Arabidopsis thaliana: one gene and its partner. The protein of the gene in region 1 interacts with the protein of each later gene in a pairwise test. Each region holds a gene or a part of one and is shown on either strand. Other genes may lie near its edges. The genes, in order: AT3G11530 and AT1G36980.

Region 1 (4,588 bases):
GGTTTAACGATTACTTACCACAAAACCTGAAAAGAGGAACTTGACTCTGTAGCGACGAAACCTCTGGAGCCGCTAGAGAAGAAATCGAGTGGCTAAAGAAGAATGATATGTTTGAGTAGACATAAGAGAAGCTGATCTCCGCCTCGCTCCTCCGAAAACAGAAAGCGTTGATCAGTATACCTCAGACGCCAAGCCTAAGCGGTGGAGTCGTCGCTTGGCCGTGAATGGATGGAGCGGAGGTGGCGGCGACGGCGTAGCCTCTATTATAAGCTCGAGGACAAATGAAAGAGGTACGAGGTCGGTCCGAGCCAGTGGACAGAGGCAACGACTCAGATTAGCTCTCCTCGCTTTTCCTTTTTTTTTCTTTCCACAGCTCAGATTGTTATTTTATTTTATTAGAAACGGACAAAATAGATAACAGTAATCATTTTGCAAAAATAAAAAGGAACAAGGTAAATTAATTAGTCATTGTAATAAAGAAACAAAAATCTCCAGATATGCAAGAAAATATATGTTTTATGTTTTATTTCATACAAAATCATCTGAATTATGTCCAGCCATTTAGGAGATTTGATGTTTTTTTCATGGACTATGAAACTAGTCTAGAGTTATAAAACCCTCTTGTCTAAAAAAAAAAAAACGTTATAACTTCTCTAGTTCTATTGAAGCCAGATTGATTGATGAGTTATGTTATTATTGACATATCTATCATTTACTCAATACACTCACACGTAGAAAAAAGTTGACTTCGAAAATATTGGTTAAAAGAAACTACAAAATTTGTTTTACTCACAAAGTTGATAATGTCCAAAACATAATTTTTCACGATTGTTTTATTTGGACAAAATAAAAATCATTGTTCTACCGAAAAATAAATAAATAAATTCATTCTCATTGTCTTAATTTTTTTACGAAATTATGAAGTGGGAAATGGATCAAGTAAGTTTCACAAGTGGGAGTCCAATAGTTAGGATCATGTCGGCCTCGTCCACTTGCGTTCTCCTTGATTTAACGATCACTTGCTTGTCTCAGGTCTCAACTAGTGGTGACGTCAATTCATTTGGTATTCATTGGACTATACACTTTTTTTCATTGTCAAATAATTGGACTATGCTACTTAAATAATATACAGCTACTCAGAGAGACTTTTACTCCAAAACGAAAGAGCCCCTTTTAAACAACACCTTATTATTTGGAGCAAAACAAAAAACAACACCTTATTTAAGTAAGAAATTAGTAATGGTACATCACAATGGCATCATAATGAACAACTGATAAACACTTTTGAATCGTCACCAGCAGCAGCATGTCATAAACGCACCAACCATGATAGCATAGATCGTGAGGTGCGCAATACCATTACTTCTCGAAGACATAGAAAGCATTGGAAACAACTTATGCTACTTTGGATCCATTAATCTCTCCTGATTAACTACTCTTTATCTTAACCTTGTTTTTATTTCTTTTTGCCAAGGTTAATTTAATTTAGGTAATACGTCTCTTGTAATACCAAACATTTCATTTCTAATGATATTTACATTCTTAGCAAAAAAAAGAAAAAAAAAACAAACAATGATAGCATAGATAGTGTATTATGATGGAGATTTACGTACTCTAACTAAAATTATGGAAACGAATCAACTCAACTTATGGTTGCTTAATAGTTTAATAATACTTTTTCGTTGATGCAGTTTCAATCATAGTTGATTGCATTTAAATAACAAAAAATGAAAAGAAAAAAATATTTAGCATTTCACATATTTTGATGATTGGTATGAACTTTGGTTAAAAATTTCAGTTATAAAATCATTTTTATTACGTATGATTTAGGAATGAGTTTTATGTGGTCCTTGCAACCCAAATTTTGATCGTAATTTTTTTTTCATGTCATTTAGTTTGTGATATTTTAAAATCGACTACTAGCTGTATTATCAAAACCACAATCCTGGAAACCAATTATAACCAAAATAAACCAACCAAACCAAAAAGATGAAATCGATGAACGGTGAGAAAACCAATTTTGACCGGTCACTAATTTTCATTTTGCTCTCAAATCGCGACTCCTCTCTGGGCTCTCTCCTTCTGTATCTCTCTAAGGGGAACAACGAAATCATCACCTTCTCTTTTATCGTCACCGGCGATCATTCAAGACTCGATCTCCGGTAATCAGAACATTTTCATTCGCCGACATGGCGATGACCATCGAAGGTAATCAATCACCTATCTTCCAACTGTATCATTTCCCGACGGAATCGAATCAGATTCAAGTCGATTTTCCCCTTTTACTTTTCTCCCTTGCTCTATGTTCATATATTCCATACGTATTAGAGATTGGTATTGATTTACTCAGATTATAGTTATTTTGTGCTTCGTGAATTGTTTAATTTTGTGAGCTAGGGTTTCTGGGTTTTGCATTGTTCAAACTCACTCATTGTTTGCTCTTTTCTAAATTTTTTCCGATGCTGATTTCTTCTGGAATGCTCAAATTGCTTTCTTGGTACAGTGTAAGTTCTAAGACTTGATGCTCTTTAATTACCCTTGTTGTTACATCTGCCAGTGTATTCTCGTGTGTCGTGATCTTACAGATTTTATTTTTCTTGATTGCACAGACTTGCTGGACTTGCTTTCATGTTTTCATCTAGTATCCTCCTACAGATCCTGGTACGTTTCTGAATATAGCTATCTGCTTATAACCCTTGAAGCTTGATCATAAGATCATGACTTAGTAGCTTTAAATCCTGCAAGAGATGGTTAGCTAGTTCTGCTGTTAGGTTGTGAGCTGAGTATACTGGTCTCCTTTTGTACCCTTGTTGATGTAGCAAACAGAGTTGTGAGTCTTTTGGCCCGTTTTACTGGGAGAGATACTCTGTGAAGTAAAGTTTGTTACATTCAAACCTTCTTTCATATTTGAAGTTTTGAGCTTTACTCTCTTGTAGTATGTTGACTAGCGATCTCTGGATCCCAAAAACCAAAATTACACTTAGAATTCTTATCCTTACAACACTATTTGACCGGAGCATATGGTAAGCTGGGGTCCTTAGCCGACCTCAATGTCTAACTTGTTAATTGACTTAGACTTTCTGAACAACTTCTATAAACTCAAGCATCTTCTCTCCTCAGCTTATATCAGGTCCTTGTATAGGTATAGTTTTTTTTTTTTTTTGCACTTCGATTAGAAGAAGAAAGGATCATCTGATTTACAAATCTGATACGTTTCCCATATTTTGTGATTTCCTTTGGTATACCTGGTTATACCATGCAATGAGTAACACGTGTTATAGTCATCTGGGAGATATAGTGATAACTATTTGTTCATAATGGTCAGGCATGCGCGATATATGGTAACTGGTGGCCAATGCTATCAGCACTCATGTATGTAGTGGTGCCTATGCCTTGTATGTTCTTTGGAGGAGGCTCAACCCAATTCCTTATTAGTCGGGACGGTGGAGGGTTAGTTACTAGAGACTTTATTGCTTCTTTGAGTTAAACGAAAGATCGATTACCAAATTGGCTCGTCCATAAAACGCAGGTGGATAGACGCAGCGAAGTTCTTGACCGGAGCATCGACCGTGGGAAGCCTTGCTATCCCAATCATCTTAAGGCACGCACAGATGATCGAGACAGGTGCAATGCTCATAGAGTTCACATCATTCTTCATATTCATTTGCACTGTCATGTGTTTTCACCGGGCTAGTCTCGATGATGACTGGTAACGTAGATGTTGCTGCTCGTGAATTACTAATTGGATTCGTATGAGAAAGAGAGTGTGAAGAAAAGATGAGGTTACTATGAGTGGTTAAGAAAGTTGTGTTCTTCTCCCTCTTTTTGTAAAGCTTTGTATCACTCAATGTTTGTAAAAAGTTTTATTCATCACTGTGAATCTTTTCCTGAAACTAAGTGCCAAAATATTTTGTTTCGCATGTTTAGGAAAAAGTTTAATTCATCATTGTGAATGTTCCCTAATCCCTAGATTAGCTTCGAGAGATTAACAAAGAACGGTTCAACTGTAACACGTGGTCATGAAATAATGTCCGAAGGCCCTTCAGATAATAAAAGCCCATGAACTTCATAAGGGTAGAAGCGTAATTTTAAAAGAGACCCCTTTCATATATATATCCTTGCGATTATTATTAGCCGTCATCGTCTAGGGTTGGTTGTTCTGCAATTTAGTTTTTTTTTTTTGTGTTTTTTATAATCTGCAGCATCGTTTCTTGTAATCTGAGGAATTGTTTTTCAGACTGCACGATCGTTTAATTTTGTTACGTTGGTTGTTTCTTTGAAGTGAAAAACGGCGAGGGATGATGATTCAATTAGATGTGCGAATGGTTTCATCATGAGCTCAAAAACTTTATTTGGCATTTTATAATCTGACTTCGCCGTCAACTCTTTTTTCTGTAATTTGGAGGAATGGTAAATGGATGATGATTCAATTAGATGTGCGAATGGTTTCATCATGACCTCAAAAACTCTATTTGGCAATTTATCTGACATCTCCCATTTCTCTATGTTCAATCCAATATATCTCCTTTATGTGGTTTTAACTCGATATTGTTTTATTGTCTGCGAAATGTTTGATAATGATGAGTTA
Region 2 (4,839 bases), on another chromosome or scaffold:
TGATAACAAGGCGGCTGATGGGTTATCTAGAATGGTACAACCAACTGGGTCATTCTCGTCAATGTTGTTAATGGCGTTTACAGTGCCCACAGTTCTCCAGTTGCATGATCTCTATGAAGAAATAGATTCTAATGCTCATCTGCAACACTTGGTTAAAGAATGTCTATCAGCTAAACAAGGGACTAGTGCCTATACTGTGAAAGAAGGCAGATTATGGAAGAAACAGAGATTGATCATTCCTAAAGACTCAAAGTTCTTACCACTCATACTTGCTGAATATCATAGTGGCCTGTTGGGTGGTCATTCGGGTGTGTTGAAGACAATGAAACGTATTCAACAATCATTTCATTGGGAAGGTATGATGAAGGATATTCAGAAATTTGTTGCTAAGTGTGAAATGTGTCAACGACAGAAATACTCCACCTTATCTCCGGCTGGGTTGTTACAACCTTTACCAATTCCAACGCAGGTTTGGGAAGACATTTCCTTGGACTTTGTTGAAGGGCTGCCTGGTTCTCACGGAAAAAAATGTCATTTTGGTGGTGGTAGACAGATTAAGCAAATATGGTCATTTCATTGGTCTCAAACATCCTTTCAATGCAGTTGATGTGGCTAGAATTTTTATTCACGAGGTAGTGAAGCTGCACGGGTTCCCTGCATCGATAGTTTCTGATAGGGATAACACGTTTTTGAGTTCCTTTTGGAAAGACTGCTTCAAACTATCAGGCACTAAGTTGAAATACAGCACTGCTTTCCATCCGCAAACAGATGGCCAGACAGAGGTGTTGAATCGCACATTGGAGACTTATTTGCGATGCTTTGCTTCAGCTCATCCTAAGACTTGGTTCCAATACTTACCTAGGGCTGAATTGTGGTATAACTCTTCTTTTCATACAACTATCAAAACAACACCTTTTAAGGTCTTGTATGGCAGAGATCCTCCACCAATTATGCGTTTTGAAGCTAATTCTACTAAGAATTGTGAGTTAGAAGGGTTACTCAAGCAGAGGGATTTGATGTTGGCCGATATTAAAGAGCATTTGGTGAATGCACAGCAGTTAATGAAAAATAACGATGATAAACATAGAAGAGAAGTTGAGTTTGATACACGGAATAGGGTGTTCTTGAAGCTAAGACCATATCGTCAAAATTCTGTGACAAAGAGAGTGTGTCAGAAGTTGGCAGCGAAGTATTTTGGTCCGTTTGAGATCATGGAACGCATTGGGAAAGTTGCTTATAGGCTGAAACTTCCAGAGGGTTCTAAAATACACCTTGTTTTTCATGTGTCTCAGTTGAAACAGGTTTTGGGTGACCACCATCAAGTCATTCCATTACCGGAAGTGTTGACTGCAGATAATGAGTTTGTGGTTGTGCCTGAAGCTGTGCTGGAGACTCGTTACAATGAGGATGGACTCTTAGAAGCGTTGGTACATTGGCAAGGTCTTCCGGTTCATGAGGATACATGGGAGATAGCCAAGGACTTGAAGAAACAGTTTCCAGGTTTAGCGCTTCAGGACAAGCTGCATGTTGAAGGGGGGGGGGGGGAGGGGGTATTGATAAGCCCTTAATAGTGTATACAAGGAGGAAGAGGCGTGAAGCACGTGCGAATGAAGATGGTGCTGAGGAGCACGTGCGCTGAAGAAGAAGTCACACGTGTGAAGTGTATATATTGAGACTTAGCTTTCTTTAGAAGATTTATGCATTTTGTTTGTAACTGCCTGTGACGTATGTGTCTGGGTTTGTGAGAGTAATGATCTAGATTTGTGTTTTAGAGCTCTCTGTATCGAACAAATTGTATTGACTCTTTCAGATAATAAGTTTTACAGTTTTCTTGTTATCAGAAGACCTGCAATTTCTAGATTAATTTTCATCAATTTTTTCTCCTTTTAATATTATTATAAAATATTATATATCTTTATTTGCGTGATATGGAGAATATGATAGATTAGCTATGTGTTCTGGTGAATCGATTCTGAGATTAGCTACCAGAACAAATAGTAAAACAACATCGTTTGCAAAGTGTTTTTTCAAATCACGCAAATAAAGTTACATAGCCACAGATGCAGGGTCCGATTCTGGTAGCTATATGTTTTTTGTATTATTTATTTTAATACAAAAACGATGTTGTTTTACTATTTGACAGAAAATGTTATTGTTGACTTTATACGTTAAATTGATCTGTTAGTTGATTATCTAATATCTTTTATTTGGCAAAATCGAAAAAAATTAATAATTTACTTTGATGATTTTATCATTACAGGTAAAGTTGATGCTTTGTTTCGACACTTTTGGCATAATAATTTTAATGACATTTTTTCGGTATAAAAACTATAATAATTTAACAATATCAACAATAAAGTTTTTATTTATCTATCTATCCAATTGGAGACGAATCATATCGAGCGATGGATTTGGCAGAACTGTGGGCGATTTTCGGACCCGGATTCTCCGGCGCCGTTTTCGGAACCGGGTGGTGGTTTTGGGTCGACGCCGTCGTTTGCAGTTCCATCCAAGTTCCCTTCGTCCATTACCTTCCCGGTAAATATATCTAACTCTCGATAATTTATCAATTAGGGTTTCCGAATTTTGAGCGATTTTGGTCCGTTGGATTTGGGGATTTCGCAGGCATATTCGCTTCTCTCGGAGCTTTGATGTTCAATTGCGTCAGAAAAGAAGACATTGATTACTCTCCTTACGACGAAGGCGAGTGGAGGTTAGTTTTTCAAATTGATCTGAGTCAACATAAGAGCTTGGTTACTTCTTGTTTAAATCTGTAATTCTGTGGAAAGTAGAAGGTAGTTGAGATAAGTGTACAAATTTTAGCTGATTTTTGTGACTGATCCATTTAGTTTGAAGTATTTGAGTGATCATTGCTTCTATAAGTGTTGAAGTATTCATGATTTGTGTTTTATGGATTTGGATTGAAGCTTATTTATAGCGTATGTCGTTGAATTTGTTTCATTCGCTCTGCTTCTGATTCTGTTTTTGATCAAGATAAGAGTTAAGAGCTTGGTTACTTCGTGTTTCTAATCTGTATTTTTTGTGTAAACTAGAAGATACTTGAGAGATCTTGTGTGTTTCATTTATGTGAAATCAAGTTTTCGCTGAGATTTGCGGTTAGTTTAAACTGTTTCTGATTTGTGTATTTATGTATTTGGATTCTTGGCTACAGATTGAAGCTATGGCTTTTTCATAGCGTATGTCGTAGCGTTTGTTTCCCTAGCTGTTTATGTTGGCTTGCTGATACAGTTATTTAATCAAGGATAAGATTTAAGAGCTTGGTTACTAAGTGTTTCTAATCTGTATTTCTGTGTAAACTAGAAGATACTTGAGAAATCTTGTGTGTTTATAACCCTCATTATCTGAAATCAAGTTTTCGCTGACATTTGCGGTTAGTTTCAACTGTTTCTGATTTGTGTTTTTATGTATTTGGATTCTTGGCTACAGATTGAAGCTGTGGCTTTTCATAGCGTATGTCGTAGCATTTGTTTCCTTAGCTGCTTCTGTTGGCTTGCTGATTCAAGATTCGGTTGTGAAGACTGGGCCTTCAACTTGGACTGGTGTGGCTGGTGTCTTTCAATGTGTATTTGTATTGATAAGGTAAAGCTATTCTATGCACTCTTCTGGTTGTGCATTTCTTGAAACACTAAACACTGCTTTTTAGATTGGGAAATTGAACACAAATACTCCTACAAAATTACCCAAACTTGTACAAATAGATTTAGTGATTCTTACAATTTTAGTCATAGTCCTTTGGATTCTAACACTTCCATTCTTAACTAATGTGGCTGTCTTCTTTTCGCATCTGGACTAAAACTTTTCGTTAGAATCATCTTTCATAATCACAATAGATTTTGTACTGGTAACAGTAACTTCCAAACCTAGCAAATGTGATTTGAATTGCAATCAGTGAAGCATCCTAACCTTTTTGTTTTCGTATACTGCATATCATCTTATACTAATCTATTTGTATATATCTCTGGTGTCTGGTCACTGACCACAATTTTTTTGACAGTGGGCTAATGTATTGGACATCGCACTCAGAGTAGCGCACAGGCACATACTTCATCTCCGACTCAGATTCATACTGTGACAACTTACAAGTTCCTCTCGTTTCTCTACTATGTAAATTCCTGTGTCTTGTCTTGTCACCTTGGCATTGTGTGCGAGATTCCTCTGTTGCATCAGTGTGTGTTTCTGTTAAAACTTTGTGTGAATGTTATTGAAAATACTCCAAATCAATCAGTTGTCCAAAGAGAACGCAAATAGGCAAACCTTTTAAATTACCTAGAAAAGAAAACTCAAAATCATGTGATCAGCAAGACGAGGTACATGCTCAATGAGATAAGTTCGCAGGCCGGCATGCTAACACGTTGGGCTTAGTGGGTAGACTTGGACACATTATTTCTGCCGGCAGTCTTAGCAGACCAGCCTGTCGCAGTCTTACAAATATAAATGCCTATTGCGGATTGGCCTGTTTGGCACCTCTATTGGGTTTATCCAATGTTTTGTGTTGATGAAGAAACTCTTTCGCAATTATATATTCTCCTAAGAGCGAACTCTTGCTCATCAAACATTAGAGACAAGAGAAAAAGACAAAAAGAGGAACACGTGTGTGAGAGCTGAGCCATTTTTTTTTCAGACCAAAGAAAGATCTACAAAGTCTGAAGAGGGCAGGACACTCATATGGCAACTCAAAGCCTCATCAGCTTTATTTGCACTATTTGCAAATCATCAAAACAAACAAACAAAAACCCCTCCCTGCCTTTCTCCTCTCCCATTGCCAAAGTAGTAGCTAAGCTTTTCTCAGGAACAAAAAGACCAAAAGAAGAAAAATAT

Evidence for each region.
Region 2: the proteins of AT3G11530 (region 1) and AT1G36980 interact in a two-hybrid assay, tested with the Arabidopsis thaliana proteins (one large-scale study listed by BioGRID).

The regions. Positions count from the first base shown.
Region 1 is NC_003074.8:3,627,926-3,632,513, reverse strand, and holds AT3G11530 (Vacuolar protein sorting 55 (VPS55) family protein), read left to right. Parts: upstream 1-1,977; 5' UTR 1,978-2,504; intron 2,505-2,609; 5' UTR 2,610-2,628; coding exon 2,629-2,661; exon of another isoform or gene 2,662-3,325; coding exon 3,326-3,450; intron 3,451-3,529; coding exon 3,530-3,713; 3' UTR 3,714-3,984; downstream 3,985-4,588.
Region 2 is NC_003070.9:14,022,679-14,027,517, forward strand, and holds AT1G36980 (transmembrane 50A-like protein), read left to right. Parts: upstream 1-1,955; 5' UTR 1,956-2,078; intron 2,079-2,260; 5' UTR 2,261-2,405; coding exon 2,406-2,538; intron 2,539-2,625; coding exon 2,626-2,713; intron 2,714-3,447; coding exon 3,448-3,600; intron 3,601-4,015; coding exon 4,016-4,049; 3' UTR 4,050-4,273; downstream 4,274-4,839.